4 linked regions of the Schizosaccharomyces pombe genome follow. Changing the gene in region 1 together with any one later gene gives a genetic interaction. Each region holds a gene or a part of one and is shown on either strand. Other genes may lie near its edges.

Evidence for each region.
Region 2: mutations in moe1 (region 1) and scd1 are lethal when combined (synthetic lethality), as found in Schizosaccharomyces pombe (2 studies listed by BioGRID).
Region 3: mutations in moe1 (region 1) and efc25 impair growth when combined (synthetic growth defect), as found in Schizosaccharomyces pombe (2 studies listed by BioGRID, with this or other methods).
Region 4: of moe1 (region 1) and int6, extra expression of one rescues a mutant of the other (dosage rescue), as found in Schizosaccharomyces pombe (one study listed by BioGRID).

What each region holds. Positions count from the first base shown.
Region 1 is NC_003424.3:4,549,836-4,554,288, forward strand, and holds moe1 (translation initiation factor eIF3d), read left to right. Parts: upstream 1-2,004; 5' UTR 2,005-2,015; coding exon 2,016-3,719; 3' UTR 3,720-3,906; downstream 3,907-4,453. Other genes in the region: gmh5 (alpha-1,2-galactosyltransferase), read left to right, coding at 91-1,134; Fe-sulfur cluster assembly ATPase Nbp35, read left to right, coding at 4,280-4,453. UniProt on the Schizosaccharomyces pombe protein: mRNA cap-binding component of the eukaryotic translation initiation factor 3 (eIF-3) complex, which is involved in protein synthesis of a specialized repertoire of mRNAs and, together with other initiation factors, stimulates binding of mRNA and methionyl-tRNAi to the 40S ribosome.
Region 2 is NC_003424.3:3,513,705-3,519,255, reverse strand, and holds scd1 (RhoGEF Scd1), read right to left. Parts: upstream 3,710-5,551; 5' UTR 3,427-3,709; coding exon 3,402-3,426; exon of another isoform or gene 3,324-3,401; coding exon 730-3,323; 3' UTR 522-729; downstream 1-521. Other genes in the region: rsm7 (mitochondrial 37S ribosomal protein uS7m), read left to right, coding at 1-29, 117-362; protein Pos1, read right to left, coding at 4,362-5,069, 5,126-5,227. UniProt on the Schizosaccharomyces pombe protein: Required for mating and morphogenesis. May contain a cryptic binding site for cdc42 that is enhanced by binding Ras. Interacts directly with scd2. Promotes the exchange of cdc42-bound GDP by GTP.
Region 3 is NC_003423.3:2,737,666-2,744,063, forward strand, and holds efc25 (Ras guanine nucleotide exchange factor efc25), read left to right. Parts: upstream 1-2,006; 5' UTR 2,007-2,536; coding exon 2,537-5,500; 3' UTR 5,501-5,854; downstream 5,855-6,398. Other genes in the region: cdh1 (SSU rRNA dimethylase), read left to right, coding at 1-279; DNA polymerase delta catalytic subunit Cdc6, read left to right, coding at 6,178-6,398. UniProt on the Schizosaccharomyces pombe protein: Has a role in chromosome segregation and cell morphology upstream of the ras1-scd1 pathway. Promotes the exchange of ras1-bound GDP by GTP leading to its activation.
Region 4 is NC_003423.3:938,079-942,249, reverse strand, and holds int6 (translation initiation factor), read left to right. Parts: upstream 1-1,941; 5' UTR 1,942-1,988; coding exon 1,989-2,022; intron 2,023-2,078; coding exon 2,079-3,550; 3' UTR 3,551-3,629; downstream 3,630-4,171. Other genes in the region: U3 snoRNP protein Nop56, read left to right, coding at 1-1,425; oss1 (oxysterol binding protein), read left to right, coding at 4,159-4,171. UniProt on the Schizosaccharomyces pombe protein: Component of the eukaryotic translation initiation factor 3 (eIF-3) complex, which is involved in protein synthesis of a specialized repertoire of mRNAs and, together with other initiation factors, stimulates binding of mRNA and methionyl-tRNAi to the 40S ribosome.

The sequences.
Region 1 (4,453 bases):
GCCGTAGTCATATTATCATTCGAAAATATATAATTTAAAGGTTAATAAGAAGAATTAACGTAAACGTCGAGTCTTATATTATATTAAAAAATGTGGAACCCCAAAAAGAAGTCAGAAGCATTAGCTAAGTTTAAATCCTTTCCTTACCCTAAGCCAGGCACTTCCAATGTACTTGATTCCAAAGAAGGTGATACTAGAAGGAAGTATTTTACCAAGACGCATCTACATAGGTTATTCGTCTTTGTGGTACTGTTGCTCTGCTCAGGCTACTTTTTAAAGCATACACTCTTGACGCGTCCCAAAGAGAGTAATGTTGTTATGATATTTGTCAATAACATCGGAGGTGGCGTTTTAGATGTAAAAAGTCCCAGACAATGGGAGCTGGAGAAGATTTCAACGGAGAACAAGAAGAAATACGCTGAAAGGCACGGATATCATTTCTTTGTGAAGAGCACAGGCTTAAAGAGACGATATGCTCATGAATGGCGTGAATCTTGGGAAAAAGCAGATTATATCATGGAAGCCATGAAGAAATACCCTCATGCTGAATGGTTTTGGTGGGTCGATTTAACAACATTCATCATGGAACCTCAATATTCTCTTGAAAAGCTTATTATTAACAGACTTGACCATATTGCGACCAGGAATATTACTGATAGCATGGAGTTCAATCCAAAAAATTTCCACGAAATTCCATTTGTTGACTATAGTGAAGATATCAACTTTATTTTAGGGCAAGATTGCAACGGTTTCAGTTTGGGTTCTTTTCTGGTTCGTCGAAGTGATTGGACTAGCAGATTGATGGACTTCCTTTGGGATCCAGTAGTCTATGGGCAAAAGCACATGGATTGGCCTCACGATGAGCAAAATGCAATTGAGTACTTCTACGAGAATAATGCTTGGCTTCGAAGCGGCATGGGATTCGTTCCTCTTCGCCTTTTCAATTCATATCCTCCAGGTGCTTGTGCTGGTGAAGGTGAAAATCCTCGTTTCTTTTATAACCAAAAAGAAGGAGACTTCTTGGTAAACTTGGCAGGCTGTAATTATGGAAGGGACTGCCTAGATGAAATAAATCATTATAAGGGATTAGCGCAAAGAAAACGGGGTTGGAGGAAGTTAGTTCCGTTTCTTTAATAGAGACCTCACATATTTCCATCATTATTATTAATATTTTAAATTCATACTTTATCATTCTTTTTCCTTGCGTGTGCTAGGCTGTCAATGCGATCCTTTATCATGTGATGCACTAAACTCTCTCCTTTGCTACTTAGCAGCTTTTGCGGTCATTTAACACTGCTTAATATTTGGTGCTTTCCGTTTTTATACATTAATTTCTTCGCAAACAATTGTTTTAATAGGATTAGATGTGTATATTTTTTATGCGACATGTGATGACAGAAAAGAGAGAATGTCTGAGAACCTTGGCGTTCATTTTTTTCTTTCTTCAAAAGACAGCGTTGACGAAATTAAAATTTTCTAAAACATGCTTTTGTCAGAAACATTTAAGCCTTGAGACAATGACTATAAAGGCAAAGTCTGATGTCGTAATCAGTTTTAAATTATAGCATAACATATCTTTTATTTCAATATCAATTTCTCCCATTTTTTAATTTAATAACATTTAGTGCTGATATAACCTGCTAGTATGATAAAGTAATTCTACCTACTATAGTTTTATAATGTAGTGAGTGGTTGAGATTTCCACATATCGTCTTCTGAATAGGCATGTGGGTTCACAAATAAAGAAGTAGTTTGATAAATACAGTAACATATACTAATTGTTAATAGATGTAGTTTTTCTACAAATATAGCACCTTGATTGCAAAAGGAAATGTATAACATTTAACTTTTTCACGAACCAAAAAGTATATATATTACATTTAAGTACTTTTGTATTACAAATAAAGCTTTAGAACTTCAAATATTACCATTGTTGGCTTTGGTGTTTTAGCGTCTCCCAGTTCGTTTGCACACTATACTGGCGTCCACTTCGAAGAAAACTTCACCACTCCCAAATGGCAACTGGATTTAAATTGCCTGAGTTAGCACCCGTAAAATCAGCATGGGGACCTCCTGAAACGGAACAGATAGGAGGTGATATTCCTTATGCTCCTTTTAGTAAAGGTGACCGTCTTGGAAAAATTGCAGATTGGTCTGTTGATCAACCTAAAGATGGACGTGAACAACGTGGACGTCAAGGAGCATTTGCTGGTCGTTTCCGTGACCAATATCAAACTTATGGTTATGGCGCGTCGTCCATTTTTGGTTATCAGCATTCGGAGGACGAATCCAGTTTCTCGGTGATCGATCGTGGTTCTGTCAATCGTACACGCACTTCCGCTCGCAACGGCGGCACTTTATTGAAGGTTCGCGGTAGAGGACAAAACGTTCAACGAGGTGGTCGTGGCGGTCGCTACGGTTCTTCTGGTGGAAGAGGTGCAGGTGATACAGTGGTTTCTAGATCCTCAGGCGCTGGAGGAGCAAGAGGTCGTCGGTTTGGTTGGAAGGATTATGATAAACATCAACGTCTTCGCAACGCCAGTGTTACTGTTGGTGACGACTGGCAGCTTCTTGACGAGGTTGAGTTCAGCCATTTATCTAAGCTCAATTTAGCTGCTGCTGCTCCTGTTACTGTGGATTCATATGGTTATATTTATCCTTATGACAAATCTTTTGACAAGATTCATGTTAAATCAGAAAAACCATTACAAGCCTTGGACCGTGTTCATTACAACCCTACCACTACTGAAGACCCCGTTATCCAAAAACTCGCTCTTAATAGTGATGCTAACATTTTCATTACGGATTCCATTTTGTCTTTATTGATGTGTTCAACTCGCTCAGTGTATCCCTGGGATATTGTAATTACTCACCAAAGTGGAAAGCTATTCTTTGACAAACGTGAAGGCGGACCTTTTGATTATCTCACTGTCAATGAAAACGCATACGATTCTCCCATGGACGCTGACAACCGCGAAGGTGTTAATTCTCCTGGAGCCCTTTCTGTCGAAGCTACGTACATTAACCAAAACTTCTGCGTCCAAGCTTTACGTGAAACCGAAGAAGAGAAATATAAATTACCTCATCCCAATCCCTTCTATAATTCTAAGGAAGAAAGTGAGCCATTGGCTGCTCACGGTTATATCTATCGGGATGTTGATCTTTCTCTCGAGACAGACGAAAAGCCTGTTAAGCTAATGGTTCGTACCGAAGTTGACGGTTATGTTAAAAATCCTGCGAACGATGTTCAATACATTTCTATCAAGGCTCTTAATGAGTACGATCCCAAATTTACAAATGTTACTGGTTCTGTGGATTGGCGTTCCAAGCTCGAAAGTCAAAGAGGTGCTGTGTTTGCCACTGAAATGAAGAACAATAGTTGCAAGCTTGCCCGTTGGACTGTCGAAGCTTTATTGGCTGGTGTTGATAGCATGAAGGTTGGTTTTGTCAGTCGTTCAAATGCCCGTGACGCTCAGCACCACGGCATTTTGGGTGTTGTAGCTTATAAGCCTGCTGATTTGGCTTCCCAAATGAACTTAAGTTTGTCTAATGGTTGGGGTATTGTTCGTACTATTGCAGATGTCTGTTTGAAAATGCCTGATGGAAAATATGTCCTTGTAAAGGATCCCAACAGACCTATTTTACGCTTGTACTCTGTTCCACCCAACACTTTTGAAGAAGCTGCTGGACCCTCCCTTGAAGCTTCTTCTACTGCTTAAAAAGGACGGATGTAGAAAGTTCATTAAAAAGGTTACATGTATAATACTCAATTACATGTGCAAATCTAAGATCTTTAAATCGGTTTTATATTTTCGGTTTCTTTATTTTTTAATCTTATGAACTGTTTCTCGGTAAATTAGAAGCTAAGTGTAAAGTAATGTATTTGTTGGAATAGTAAAAATGAAGCGAAGGAAAATTAAGTGCCGTTTAATTCATTTGGAAATATCTGATTTTCGATGCTTCCAACGTGATTTTTTTCATGAACATTGCTTTTAACACACTTTAGGGTATTACGGTAAAAAAATTAGAACTCGATTAGTAGAAAACCGATATAGCTCATTGCCACTAGCCAAGAGATCGTAAAACGGTTTCAAGCTTAGTCAGAATATTGTGGTAAAACAAGAGGTAAAGCTTTTAGCAAAAATTCGTTTGAAGAGAATTTACACCGGATTACACTTATAATTTACCATACGTGGTTTACAAAAATAGCTACTAAAAGTTCACTAAGCACGTGAAATAAAGACTTTTACTAAGCATTTGCTTTAATATTGGCTTTTCTATGCAAATCCAAGAAACTGTTCCTTTAGATGCACCAGAGCATTGCCCCGGACCGTCATCTGAAAATGCAGGAACTGCATCAGCATGTGAAGGATGCCCTAATCAACAAATTTGCGCTTCAGCACCTCGTGGAGAAGATCCAGATTTACCATTGGTTGTAGAACGCTTGAAAGAA
Region 2 (5,551 bases), 1.0 Mb from region 1:
TCGCTGAGATTTCTCCCTTAATGAAGTTGGTACGTCGAAATTATTGAAAATTTTGGAATTTTTTGTGAATTATTTCTTTTTATAGTGTGTAGACGGATTTGCTAATATTTTGATAGGTTTCTGCAAAGCGATTTAACAAAAGTGTCGAATTTCCTATGCCATTGAAAGAGCGACAGCGAAGAAGGATTGCGTTACAATGGATCCTCGGTGAATGTAAATCATCAAGTCCTAAAAGATTATCAGATCGTATTGTTAAAGAAATCATTGCTATCAGGAGCAAGACAAGCAATTGTTTCAAAAAGAAAGATCATCTGCACAGAATGTGCCTTGTTAACAGAGGTAATGCACCCGTTCGTATATAAAAACAAAAATTCCGTACATTTTTATCTTTTTTATGAATTGCATTCCCTTTTAGTAATGTTATTTTTGTCTAGTATATCGAGAATTGATTACTCTTAGTTATCAACTCAATTATACTACGTAGTGCGCAGTTAATCATATTCATGTTTATGAGGTTATAGTTTGGTTGTAAAATAACTTTCATAATATTCATCAACATTCTTCTACAGCTCCTTTTCAGTTAACGGAAATGCTACAGAATTTATCTTCTATGAAGTATATTGTTGTTTTTTCAAAACAAAGAAGGGAAAGTAAATTAGTTCATCGACTAAACTGTTAATTTCCTCTATATAAATTAAATTGACAATGTACAGCTAGCACAATGCTAGTTTAGAAATAAACAACAACGTGCAAAGACACAGTATCCATTCCTTTATTATGGACAGGATCCATAAGTTCAAACGTGCACGTTTCAAATGCCATTAAAACGTCTTCATCGGATGTGATGGTTATAAAATCGCCATCCTCATCAACATACTTCAGTCTAACCCGAAAAGGAACAGCTTGTTTCAAAATCCCACAAAGCTTTATTTTATGTTCTACCTTGGCTAACAGCTCATCAAATGTTATATCATGAGCAACAACCAGGACGAGACTAACCTCATGTAAACGGAGACGAATTTTAACATTCGTGGTATTTCGAACTGATAGGGAGGTAGACGTGGAACTCGAGCTTAACGAAGTATGTTTAGTAGAAGGGAGCAAACTACCATCTGATTTCATACCCGCTGAATATGAATATTGACGAGGTCTCATTACGTCGCAATCATTAGTAGTAGGTTGATCAAAAATTTTTTGTTTCGTTGATGAAGATGTATCTTCAAAAATGCTGACTGAAGACCCATCATCAGTACCTGAATACACCCTAGTTATATGACTTTGACGATTGTAGTTATAGTCGTTCAATAGCGAATTGACCTGGCTGATACGAGAGATTTGGCTAGGAATAGATGCAGTCGATGAAGAATCGTTACTAACTATAGTTGATGTTGTTTGCGAAGTACGAAGGCTACTGGTACCCACTGATTCTTCGCTGTTTAAACGAATGAAATCCGATGGCCTTTCATCAGTTGTGGTGGCAGACTTTGTATCCTTAGAAGTAGTTTTCGTGAACGGACTAGATTTGGAAGAGGGACTGGAAATGCTTGTAGGAGAATTAACATTTTCGTCAAGAGAATGTGTACGTAAAAGATCATAGTCGGAGGAGTTGTAACCCTTTGAAGTCTGAGAAGAAGAACGATTGTAGACAGGGTTAGCAGGGGTCGAAGCAGCACTACGAATATCCTTTGGAGATCCGTGCTCGTTTTTCCATAAAAGTCGATTAAGAACGGACATCCATAGTTTATGACTTTCTTCATTACGTAACTTAAGAATAAAAGATTCATGTTGAGGATCACCACGCCAAAATATTTGAATAGCATATGAGCCCATGTGATGGTTGGGAACCACAGTAGTGATGTTGGATGTCAGAATTCTTCCCTTCAGTTGAAGACTATCAAGACGTTTAGTTTTCTTGTTCATACTTATACTTCGGGCTTGCCGTTTCAGAGTTGACATTTCTTTACAACATAACAAAATTTTTTCAAAAAGGTAAACGTGATACTCTCTTTCTATATCGGCTTTGCATACATTAACAACATCCCAAACTAGCAGTTGTCCAAAGTATTGAAGAGAGTATCCTTTCCAATCAATCACACGTTGTTCAAGCTCAATAATGGCATTTCGGTTTTCATGAATACGACGAGTCTCATTAACTTGGTTTGCTACACGAACTACACAAGCCATTCCTTGTTTTAGTTCCTCTTCGTACTGATAACCTGAGGGAGTACCTTTTAGTAATTGATTCAAGAGAAGCGGATATTTACATATACGCTGTATAGGCTTAATCAGCAGAGCTGGTAATTCATAAGAGGGCTCAAGCAGGTTCGCAACTTTCAGTAACTGATTTTGATTATCAATGATCAGTTGTTGAGCATTCGGAAAATTTGTACAAAACACTTGGTAAACAGAAAATCCCTCTTCTAAGGCAATGAAGAGTGCGCCTAGTCGTTGTTCTTCTACAGGAAGCGAAAGATTCATCTCTAAACCAACCAAAAAACGTCTTTGAAAGTCTAAAATCTCGTTTAAATTCGTAAATATACTGAGAATAGTGTCCTGGGATAGAATTTGTTTTTGTTGAAGTATGACCATATAGTTGGACAAATATTCTAAATCTTGAATGTATTTTAATTCGGTTTCATATAATTCGGCAGTGACTCTACGGCCAGATGCAATCAAGCTGTTAAGAGTTCCTGTTGGTACATTATCATCAGTAGAAGGACTAGGAGTAGAAGATGATTTTGTGGTATTGGAAACTTCATACTTTTTCAATAAAAGTTCAATGGTTTGAAGAGCTCTAACAAGTGGAGCTGTCGAGGGTTTATAAATTTCTGATATGGAAAAAAGGGCGGCGTCTGTGAGTCCAAGTTCATTTTTACACATGAGCATGAAACGATATAAACTAGCTTTACACACGTTCGTATTTTCCAAAGAAACCGAACTATTAACTTCCAATTTTTGCTTAACTGGCAAGCAATTGAACAGGGCACACAATGGATAACCTAAACGACAAAACAGCCAAATTTCCGTAACTGGATCATCAAATTCAATGTCCTTAAATTCCAGTATTTTGAAAGAGCTATTCAAGGCTTCACGATGAATACTGTCAAAGAAAGCAGCCAACTCTGATATATCCATCAATCGCTTCCGGAGATTTAGACATCGTCTGTATAATGAAACCGTATTTTCTAAATTATAAATAACTTGTGACGGAGACTGTAAAAGCCTAAGTTTCATGTATTCTGACAGATTAGTCTCATCTTTACGAGGACCTACAAGGTTTTGGGTGCTGTGATTGATGTAAGAAGGAAGAGACCTAGAGGATGCTTTTAGAAGTTAGTTAGTTAATTGCATACACATAAATGGCGTTTTTGTGTTCTAAATTTCTTTCAATCGTTACATACTTTTGCGATCCTGAAAGTAGGCCATAACTGATAACTTCTTCTCGAGACTCCTTCCTAATGCAGTAAAATACAGAAAATAAAATTTCCTTTAACTGCTAGAAAAGTATAAGTACTCGCATGTAGTCCAATGCTTGAACAATTAATGGAAATTCAAACCAACAACCCAATTTCAAGATTTCTTAAACATAAAAAAGCCTGAAGTTTCTTTGGAATTAAATATAAAAATTAAAACTGACTCCAAAGTAAAATTGTCTAAAATAAGTTGCTGTTTTACTGCAATTGATAAAATCACAGTATGTATAGTTGACAAGGTACTAAGGTAATAGTGAGACACTTGGCGATCAGTTGAATCGAATAGCGTATCGTAAATGTATTACGGTAAATATACTTGTTTCTTCAGTTCATTTGATAGAAAATCCTACTGCTAAGTCTTTTGAAACGGAGATATTATGACGATAAAATAGCTGGCAACTGAAATTTCATTGCTAAAAAAATGAAGGGATATCTCCAACCATCCCAATATTAAAACGATTACAAAAGGCAAGCTTGCAAATTTGGTAAATAAATTAAGTAGAGCGATTGTTTTAGTAATGTAACAAGGAAAATCATGTATTGAACGGGAATTAAAAAAAAAATTAGTAAGACACAAATTTGGTAGGAAAGGTAGATGTCCAAGAAAAGAGTGAGGTCTTTAAAAAGGACGACGATGCTAAATAAACCAATTCAGCCTTTCAATTGATAAGAAGAGACAAAAAAGTTAAAAAAATTAATGTTAAGAACGTATTGAAATACAGTAGTAAAATGATAACGAATGGACCTGATGACTTAAAAGTATAAAACAGGGATAACGAGAGTAACGGCTTAATAAAAAGACTGAAAACAAAAATATTAAAGTAAAAGGAGTGAGTGCTTGACAGAAAGAACAAAGATAAGTAAGGGAAAATAGGAAAGATTTGAGGACTAGGACTCGGAGCACAAGTTTGACAACTTATCTGACAACAACTCGCTTCGGAAGAAAAATTGTCGTAGTTGAGATAATACATCTTGAGGAACAGAAGAGCTCATATTATTAGTGATATCACGTAAAAAGGTATTTTGTTCTGCACATAATCGTTGCCAATCAATAAGTAAAAAAGACAGTGTTTCTGTGTCAACGTTTCTTCCCATTGGAGAGGTCGAATGAGAAGAGGGACTTTCGGCAATTTCATGAGGAGATAATTCTTTTTTCTGTAAACTGTCGTTGGTATGTTTTAAAGAAGCCAAGATGGAATAAATAGAGGATTCAGAAGATTCGGATGGCTTTTCGATGAGACCCATCTTTTCAAGTCGTTGTTCCAATACTTGTACGCTATCATGAACTTCCTTCAGCATAAAAGAAGCTGAAGGACCAACCTTGTTAATCTCGTTTGATAAAGATAATGTACCAAAGCTCAAAGTGTTCGATAGAGACTTAAGATAACGTAACTCTGTCTCAGTGGATTGTTTCCTGATTTCTTCCAGCTCTTTCTTCGTATTCTCCATATCCTCTATAGGAGCCTTTAGTTTGGTTAATTTGTTCTCCTCTAGACTGCTTAACTTGGGTAAAGATTTGAGAAGCTTCGAGTACATCATTTGATATGCCAGTTTCTTTTCCAAATTTTCTTTTTTGGCTTTGCAAATTAATAATTTCTAAATTTTGCATGTTAACACACTGAATTAATGTTTCTATTTAAAACTTTACATACATTGTGCAATTTGCCAAACAAATTGGCTTCTAAAGGTTCCACTTCTTTGCTCTCACATATCGACTTGTTAATTAAAAAGGAATTAGCTGGAGAAAAGGCCATCGCGCTTACAGTCGAAAATATACTGCGTTTGGCACTAGCTTAAAACATGGAAGCTCCAAGTACTTACTATGAGTAGCGGAAATTGTGACTTGGCGAAACGAGTAACAAATGTTTATAACTATGTATTGTAAAAATAATATTTTATGAGTACGAAGATTAGTCTAAATGAATCGAAACTTTTTGAGGTAATTAGTAATTCGATTGTAGTTAAGGTATTTTATCTGAGAAACCGGCTTTCTAACGTTTTACAGCCACAGATCACTTAGACAACTGTTCTGATTAAAATATAACTTTTCCACGAAAGCTGATTATCACTTAGACCAT
Region 3 (6,398 bases), on another chromosome or scaffold:
GAATGGGATGGTCTGTTACGGATTGTGTTTTTAAGGAAAAATAAAACCATTGGTGCTTGCTTTAAAACCTCTTCAATTATCGAAATGGTCGAAAATAACTATCGCACGTGGTGTTCGCAAAACGAACGCATGGTTGAGGAAGACTTTGATGTAAAATCTTTGATTGACGGAGTTTTACAACAATGCAATCTTCAAGATGCCCGAGCTTCTAAGTGTGGACAAACAGAGTTTTTGTCTCTGTTGCACGCCTTCCATCAGGTTGGCGTTCATTTTGCTTAATGGGGTCAGGATGGGGTTTTCCATTGAAACGTTAAATATTGGATCATTTATGGGTTTTTGGGATAATAACTTTATGGAATGTTAGGTAAAAACAGAAAATATAAAAAAATTAAAATAGAAATAGGGACGTTTGTAACAGCAGTAAGAGTTTATATATAATCAGTTGGTTGAAATGATGGTAACATTAAGAATACAATCAATGCTTATACTAATTTAAAAAGTAAAAAATAAAAGATAAAATAAATCTATACATAAAATAGTGGAAGAAGAGTTGTAAGAAATAAGGAAATTCGTTGGAAAACAGATATAGTTGTAATAATTGAATAACAGCAGTATTTACTATCTAAACGCAAAGTAATGTAGGAACCATATAGGTACTGAATGAGAAGGTCAGTGCCTAAAGTTGGAATAATAATAATAATATCAATTCAGAAAAAAGCTTTTATCAAATTATAAAAAAATAATAATAAATAAAATAAAAATGACTTAAGTGGTAGTGTTAGTGTTAGTTTAATCCCATTTTTCGATTTAACAAAAATAACAGATATGCCCTAGTTTCACATACATTTCTCCTAATCTAATAACCTGTCACATTAAATTTCGTTCATTTCCCGACCGTACTCTTCCCTAAAGGCCTCTTCAGGGAAAAAAGCAATTGCATTCGCAACATTAGCGTAATCCAAATAAAATCATTAAATGAAGTAAAACAAAAAAAATTCTCAAGCTATTCAAGGGAACAAATGCCCTACCATTAATACTGAATTGACGATGCACATTTGTTTATATTTATTATAATTAAGGATAAATAATAGACTTGCGGGAGCAAACATATATAAAGACGGGTAAAGAAAAAAAAAATTTAAATAAATAAAATAAAGCAAATAAAATTAAATTAAATAAAATAAAATAAAATAAGAAAATAAAATAAATAAAAATTGAAATGCCGTAAAATAAAATGGAAAATAAGTTAAGTAAACGTTTAAAAGAAAAGGTAAAATGTTCAAAATCAAATTAAATAGATAACAAAGTGAAGAAAATGTTTACAAGAATCAATGAAATTTATTTAAAAAATATTGTCAAAATTATTGCTAAATATATGATCAAATTCATTACCAAAATAACATTACCCATCGAACACCCCTAACAACTTCCCAAATTACATTCATCAAATGAATGGTATACTCCGTCGCTCTTTCTAATTCATTCGGCCATTCTAAATCCATGATCAAAAGTTTAGTGCCGTCTGCTCCAATATCGACCATTTTGAGATTCGCTTAGCAAAATGCGACACTTCTTCGGGCCCTATCCATTTTCCCGCTGATAGACATAGGAGTTTTGCAGCTTTGTCCAATTCTCTTCCAAAGGGAATTTCAAATTGTTAACCTAGTAAATGTAGTGGTGAAAGTGGTATACTGAATGTGCCTTCACAATCCATATAAATCGTCAACCTGAAGCCTGTGTTTTCCTCCATACAAAGGTTTACACTTGCTGGGAACCTAGGCGGCAAAAAGCGTGATGCCATATGTTTGGCCTTCAAGCATTCTGTTCGTCTGTGCATTTCACGTTTCAATAAAAAACATATAGCGGCCGGATGTTATTGGCATTTTCAAAAATTGACAAATTGTTATCTCGAAAAAAATTTCCCATCTCAAAAGTGACAAAGAGCTTGTTCGCTTGTACACTAATCGCAAAGTCACAAAAGTGGTAGAGCCGGTGGTAGAGTATTCACAACCACTACCTACTACAACAAGGGGGCTGTTGAAATAGTAAAAGTTGGTTGGAATTGAAAAAAAAGCAATTGAAAACACTTTTCCTTAACTTATTTCCATTTAAAAATTATATTTATACGGAGCCTAGCTTGCTCTGAGTTGGACTTCGTGTGGCATCGTAGTTCTGTTGCGTATGCTTCTTCCCTGTACTCATTAGTTTGGTGTATTTTTTTTCCCTTTTCTCTTTTTAGTTTCGTTTTTTGCTTCATTTTTTTTTTAAAATCTTTTTGTTTCTTATATACTCATAAAAAACCCTTTTTTTTTGGTGTTTTGGTGCGTGGGGTCTTTTTGGTTTTATACTGCTACTATTTAACTTGTTTTTCTTTTTAAAATTGAGGATATGCCTCGCAGAAACATTAAAATTCCCTGACTCACTCGCCGTTGTCTACCCTAAAGTGACTTTAAATTAAGCAAACATATATACTTTGTTTATATCAAAGTCTCGAGGTAAAATAAATAGATAGATAATATAGACCGTCAATGCTACAATGAGAAGACCAAATTTGGATCGTTTACGCCTCAAATCAAGGCAGGGTTTTGAGACTTCTGTTTCCAAACCCAGTACTCCTAGTTATTCTACGTATTCTCTTTCTCCCACATTTTCAGACAAGAGTGTTCTTTCTCCCTCCACTATGTCTGATTCCTACGCTCTTTCCTCTACTTACACAGCCGGTTCCTCTTATCAGAATGGCGAGTCCGATTATTTTGGTTCTTTACCCACTCCTTCCTCTGATAAATCATCGACTTCTCCCTTTCCATATTTGAAGGGCTCCTTCGATGATCGTTTCTCTTCAACCCATTCCCTTACACGACAACCTTCACCTCGTTCACCGTTAACTCCTTTAAAAGGAAATACCCGAGCTTCTCCAGAAATTCGCTATGTAAGCGATTTCACTCCTCCCTCATCTCCCTTTGAAGACATGCAAGCGTCTGTTCATTCTTTGCCCTTGTCTGGATGTTCGATTGGTCCTGTGCGTACTAACCATTCTTCATCTTTGTCAAATTCATCTAACTCATTACTACAAACCGAGTCCTCCTTGCGACCCAATTCTTCTTTCGTAAATAGTCCTTTTTTCCCCCTTCCTTCTTCTGATGATCTTTTCCTTAATGACAGAGTCATTAATCTCTTTCTTTTTTATGAAAAATTCTCTTATTTGTTCACTCATTTACTTTCTGCTATAAAATCTAGAGATGCGTTGAGCATTCCATCACTCGTTCTTTCTCTCCAAGAAGAACTCTTCAATCTCTGCCAGCAGACCGGGACTTTTTATCTTCTCCAACACAATCTCTTGCAAAACTTTGAGTTTGAAAACCCCATTAAATTACATTTTGATAAGATAATTCCCTACTTTTCGAGATTAACTGTACTGACCTTCTCGAATCGTGCTTTTATTTTTCCAGACCACACTTTTCCCCGCTTACAGCAAAGCGCTGAGGATTTTCTGTACCATTTACAATTTTTCTTTACTCTGTGTGCAAATAATAGTTTATACCTTAGTCGCTTTTGTTACTACCCTTCTTTTGTTCCCAATACTCCTTTCGGGGGCAAATGGACCAACAATGGTTTGTCTGCTGTTTCATCAGCATATCGAACACGCTTGCTTGAGCCTTGCCTACCCGAACTCGACAAGTGCGTATGGTTTTTATTGAAAAATTGTGATGAATTTATTGAAAACTTCTCTGATTTTGCCGATGAAGAGTATGTCTTTGAAATTTGTTCCACAATTACTAGCCACTCTGAACAAATCTTCAACAAACTTGAAAGTTGGGATATGTCGATATACTTTGATAAAGATTTAAGTGAGTGCGAGCAAGCTACAAACTTTGCAGTCCAATCTTACTTTGTTACAAAGCAACGTTGTTATGATTTATTAACTGATCTGGTTTGTTCATCTCAAGACTTGATGATGGAGCACTCAAACGATTTTTCTACAATGCCTACAATGATTGCTTCCATTGCTGTGGCTTTCCAAACTTTATTTGAAAATGTTTGTGATTTTCTTAAAGTACGTGCTGCTCTCGTCGATGAGATGCAGGAATTAGCAACAAAAGAGTTTGAAAACAAGTTTTCAAATGCAAACACAGCAAAAGATGACGAACCGGCTCGTCAAACTAACAAAGGTACTACTAGAATTTCTAGAAGTTCTGATTTTACCGCTGTTAGCGAGATGAGCAAGGATACCTTAACACTTGGCAGAAACTCTTTGCAATCAATTTTGATGCTGGATAATTTGTTAACCAATAAAGTTGTGCAAAGCGATAACAATGTTAAAGGTGGAACTTTACCGGCCCTCGTGCATTACCTTGTCCAGAACGTTCACTTGAACAAAGATTTTCGCCATTCGTTTCTTTTGACTTATAAAACGTTCACTACCCCCCAGGAATTGTTTACGCTTCTTGTCATTCTGTTTCACGAGTTACCGCCACCAGGATTAGATGCTACAGCATATAGTTCTTGGGAAAAGGGAGATAATTTTGTTACCAAGAAGAACGTCTGCACCGTTATGAATTTGTGGGTTCAAAAATACTTTTTTGAAGATTTAAAAGCCCGTAACACTCTTTATTTGATTTCGGAGATGCGTACCTTTTTACGTGACCATGTTGTTCCATCTTTTCATATTGGCAGTGTAATTTTATCGGAAATTGACAATCTCTGGACTGAAGAGCCTCCAGATTCGTTAACCCAACGCCTATTATCTTCTCCCATGGCTACTTTTATTTCTTTAAACGTATATGCTTATACTCCTGAAGAATTTGCTTCCCAGATGACATTATTGGAGTTTGATTATCTAAAGCAGATTCCTTCGAGGGAATGGATATTTAGAAGCTGGGTTAGTCGCGATTCTCGCAGCGCTGTCCGAAATTATATAAACTTTTCGAATTGTTTCACCTATTGGATAATCAATTGTATTTTAGAGAAAAAGAATACCAAAGCTCGTACAGCAGTAATATCCTTTTTTATACAAACTGCCTACAAGTGCTTGTCCCTCCAAAACTTTTCCACTCTAATGTCTATTGTTTCTGCCTTAAATTCTGCTCCTATTTATCGTTTACATGCAGCGTACAAACTTGTTAAAGCTGAAGACATAATATGTCTGTCTGGTTTACGTGAAATCGTGGAAACAAAGAAAAATTTCAGTACTTATCGTGCTTTACTTCGCAAGGCTGAACTTCCTTGCGTACCGTTTTTGGGTGTCATATTAAGTGACTTGACTTTTATCGATGAAGGTAACCCCGATGTTCTTGATTCATCTCCACATCTGTTAAGTTTTAATAAGCGGCATCGACTTGCCGATGTCGTCGCAGATGTGTGCCGATTCCAATCCTCCTCTTACGAAATGCAATCTAATACTGATCTTCAAAGCTATATTTTACATCGGTGTCGCTTTGTTAACCAAGATCTGTCCTATTTATTTGATAAATCACTCTCACTTGAACCTCGTTCTTCTTAAATCTTATTTTTTACCCCTCTCTTAAAATCCCGTTTTGGTTTTAGCCCGTATAGGGTTCGCTCTTTTAGTTGTCTTTCAGACACAGCTTTTAATCTATCTCTTTACGTATTTACTGTTAATGTTATCGTATTGGTTTAACTGACATGACCTTGATGTTGTATTATTCATTAGGCGTTGGTAAACAAAGTCTCAGAATAAATTATCGGAATTGTCGGTTTGTAGGCTGATGACTCTGCTCAGTTTTCTTAATTCCTATTGCTTGGAATCTAGTTCTTTTTGTTTTTGGACAATTGCGTCCTTTTTATTACTAATATCTTCCATTAATAATAAATTAGTCTTTTGTTATGCCCAAGAATACATTAAGTAGTGGTTTATGTAGCTTGATGGAGATTGGTATAAACTTGTATATTTGATTTCTTTCTCCATCGTAATTTGACAGCTAACCTATTTAATGTGGTTTTACCTTTTCAGCAGTTGACACTCATACCAAAATTTATTGGTGTACGCTTTGAACTTACCTACAAGATATTCGCCTAAGTACCTATTTGTTGTTACCTACAAAACCCTTTTAGTTGCTCGTCTTCCTACCAAAAACCAAGAGCATGTAAGCTTGGTGTCTTCCTTATTTACCATTTTCTGTTCTAATTTTCATAATAAATAAAAAATTAATTACTAGAATGACAGATAGGTCTTCAAATGAGGGCGTCGTGTTAAATAAAGAAAACTATCCATTTCCCCGAAGAAATGGTTCAATTCATGGCGAAATTACAGATGTCAAACGGCGACGTTTAAGCGAAAGAAATGGATATGGTGATAAAAAGGGCTCATCCTCAAAAGAAAAAACTTCATCTTTTGAGGATGAGCTGGCTGAATACGCTTCACAATTGGACCAAGATGA
Region 4 (4,171 bases), on another chromosome or scaffold:
ATAGCAGCGAAGACAAAGGAAGTGCAGTTGTCTCTTCAGGATATTTCAAAATTTGGTAAAGTGGTGCAGCTTAGAAGTTTTATTCCTTTTAAAAATGCTGCCCATGCTTTGGAAAATGCCAACGACATTTCTGAAGGCGTTTTGAATGATTTTTTGAAAAACTTTTTGGAACTCAATTTGCCGAAAGCCTCAAAGAAGAAAAAGGTGTCTCTGGGAGTCCAAGACAAAAATTTAGCAACGTCTATTAAATCCGAAATTGATGCCATTGAATGTGACACTTCTGAGCTTACCCAGGATCTTCTCCGTGGTATTCGTTTTCATGGTGATAAACTTCTCAAGCAACTATCACCCGGTGATTTCGAAAGGGCTCAGCTTGGTTTAGGACATTCATACTCTCGCGCAAAAGTGAAGTTCAATGTTAACAGAAATGACAACATGATTATCCAAGCTATTGCTATCCTTGATCAACTTGACAAGGACATTAATACTTTCGCTATGCGCATGAAAGAGTGGTATTCTTGGCATTTCCCTGAGCTTTCGAAGATCGTTGGAGACAATTACAAATACGCTGTTATTGTTACACTGGTTGGTGATAAAACCACCATTAACGACGAAATGCTTCATGATCTGGCAGCCGTTGTAGACGATGACAAAGATATTGCTCAAAGTATAATCAACGCTGGTAAAGTGTCTATGGGACAAGATATCTCTGAAATTGACCTCGAGAATATTCTATCTTTTGCTGAACGTGTTATTAAACTTAGTAATTATCGTAAACAGCTACATAACTATTTGGTTCAGAAGATGAATGTTGTTGCTCCCAATCTTGCTGAATTAATTGGTGAGATGGTTGGTGCTCGTTTGATTTCTCATGCCGGAAGTCTAACTAACTTGTCAAAATGCCCGGCTTCTACGGTACAGATTCTAGGTGCTGAAAAGGCTTTGTTCCGTGCTCTGAAAACCCGTGGAAACACGCCTAAATACGGTATTATTTACCATTCTAGTTTTATTGGAAAAGCTGGCGCTAAAAACAAAGGCCGCATCTCTCGTTTCTTGGCTAACAAATGTTCTATTGCTAGCCGTATTGATAACTTTAGCGATGCCCCAACTACGGCATTTGGTCAAGTTCTTCGTCGACAAGTCGAGGAACGTCTCAACTTTTTCGATACCGGTGTCGCCCCTACTCGCAATAGTATTGCAATGGCAGAAGCTTATGAAAAGGCATTATCGAGTGTTAACATAGACGGAGACGAGGAGGTTGACATTGACGTTGAAGAGACTGTTGAAACCATTTCAGAAAAGCCGAGCAAGAAAGAAAAGAAAGACAAGAAGGAGAAGAAAAAGGAGAAGTCTAAGAAAAAGCGTTCTGCCGATGATGCATCAGAAGAAGTCAAGAAAAGTAAGAAGAAAAAGAAGAGCCATTGAGACGTTATTTTTATTAGGATATAACGGGGACCATATTGCTCTTGCATATTTAGAACAACTTGTAATTGAAAAATTTGCTATAGATTATGGGCGTAAATACTGTAATATTACTAAATCGATTGATATCGAGCTTATCATTTTGATGGATGGACGTGTAAAACTTATCTCTTAGTAAGCATTTACATTTTATTAAGTAGCATTTATGTATTATTCGTATAAGAAGTGCTATTTATATCGAAAGTTAAAAAAATATTAGAAACCAGTATTTGACAATAATTACAATTTAAGTAAAGATCAAGAATCGGATAAAAATTTGTCTTACACATTGATTTACATTAGCTGGTAGTAAGTTCGAGCTTAATTAGTTTTATGAAAAACTATTGGTTAAAAAAAGCAAAAATATCATTAAGGAATTTAATATTTTTTGTACGAACATTGCTGACCTACTATTGTCATATTGCTTTTCAGTACTGTAGTCTAAGGGGGCTACTACTAGAGTTTTGGGTGAGTTGTGCTATCCTCCCCACACCACGCACTTTTTTTTTGCGTGAAACATATCAGATATGGGATCCGAGCTTAAGAGTACAAGCCCTTTAGGTAAGCTAATTTAGATTTATTTTTAAATACAGGAGAATGTTTTCTAACCTTTATAGCGGTCAAGTATGATTTGTCGCAAAAAATTATGCAACACCTTGACCGCCATCTCATTTTTCCTCTATTGGAATTTTTATCTTTAAGACAGACTCATGATCCAAAGGAGCTTTTACAAGCTAAGTATGATTTGCTTAAAGATACCAATATGACTGATTATGTGGCCAACTTGTGGACTAATCTTCATGGGGGTCATACCGACGAGGACATGGCAAATGCTTTTGCTGAAAAGCGACGCAGTGTTTTGCAAGAGCTCTCTGAACTTGAAGAAGAGGTTCAAGGAATTTTAGGTGTCTTAGAAAATCCTGACTTGATTGCAGCTCTTCGTCAAGATAAAGGTCAAAATTTACAACACCTACAAGAACATTACAACATTACCCCTGAACGTATAGCTGTTCTTTACAAGTTTGCTCAATTTCAATATAATTGTGGAAACTACGGTGGTGCATCAGATTTACTTTATCATTTTCGTGCCTTCAGTAAAGACCCTGAATTAAACGCCTCCGCGACCTGGGGTAAATTTGCTTCTGAAATTTTGACTGTTGATTGGGATGGGGCTATGGAGGAATTGGGAAAACTTCGCGAAATGGTGGACTCCAAAAGCTTTAAAGATTCTGCTGTTCAATTGAGAAATCGAACTTGGCTCCTCCACTGGTCCTTGTTTCCTTTGTTTAATCATGCAAATGGTTGTGATACTCTTTGTGATTTGTTCTTCTATACTCCTTATCTCAACACCATCCAAACCTCTTGTCCCTGGCTATTAAGATATTTGACTGTCGCTGTTGTTACTAACCAAAATAATGCAAATCAAAAACCTCGTAACCCTAGGCAATCTTATCAAAGAAGGATGCGAGATCTCGTACGCATCATTAGCCAAGAAAACTATGAATACAGCGATCCTGTGACCTCTTTTATTTCTGCTTTGTATACTGAGGTCGACTTTGAAAAAGCTCAGCATTGCCTCAGAGAATGTGAAGAGGTTTTGAAAACCGACTTTTTTCTCGTATCTTTGTGCGATCACTTTTTGGAAGGTGCTCGCAAATTACTTGCTGAGGCATATTGCCGTATTCACAGTGTCATAAGTGTTGATGTGCTTGCTAACAAGCTGGAAATGGACAGTGCTCAATTAATACAACTTGTTGAAAACCGTAATAATCCTTCAGTTGCCGCAGCTTCTAATGTAGCTGCCGATCAAAGTACTGAAGATGAAAGTATTGAATCTACCTCTACAAATGTTGTTGCTGATGATTTAATCACGGAAGCCGAAACTGCTACTGAAGCCGAAGAGCCCGAACCCGAGGTACAATTTGGGTTTAAAGCTAAGTTGGACGGTGAATCAATAATAATTGAACACCCTACTTATTCAGCTTTCCAACAGATTATAGACCGTACAAAGTCATTAAGTTTTGAAAGTCAAAACTTGGAGCAATCTCTTGCTAAAAGCATTTCGGAGTTAAAGCATGCTACTGTTTAGACAAGATTAGCAAATAGTTTAAAGGTGGAATATATTTCATACATTAAAAATAAAACATAGGAGTTTAATTAATTCGCTAATTTTGTATTTTCAAACAACTCGTTATTGTAGAAGATGACTGTGTACTTTCCTATTTAAAGAAACGTGCTCATTGAATATCGCTATTAGTATATTAATTTTGGAAATTTGAAACATGCGGGGATATTAAAAAAATATATATTATCTAAAATTTTTTTATTTTCTGAAGTGCATAAAAAATAAATAATTAATGCAAAAGTATTAATGCCGCTATCTCAACATGTAGAAAATGTGTCGGTGGAATTAACTTATGTATATATTAAATTGCTGTAATAATACTAATCCAATTGCATTAAATTAAATTTCCCTAATTGATAGATAAATAAACGATGCTGCAACGGTATTACCGTAATTTAATCGAAAGACTCGCTACAACTAATATGTAAGTTTGGTGTTTAAATTTCATATCAAACCAGTACACCACGAAAGCTTGAGACAGCATCCGTTTCCGTGCCACCAACATTTATCAACGCAAAGATATCTCTTGAAAAGAATAGATTTTTGGTCAGTAGTAGGACCAGGACCTAAAGATGCCAAATCCTA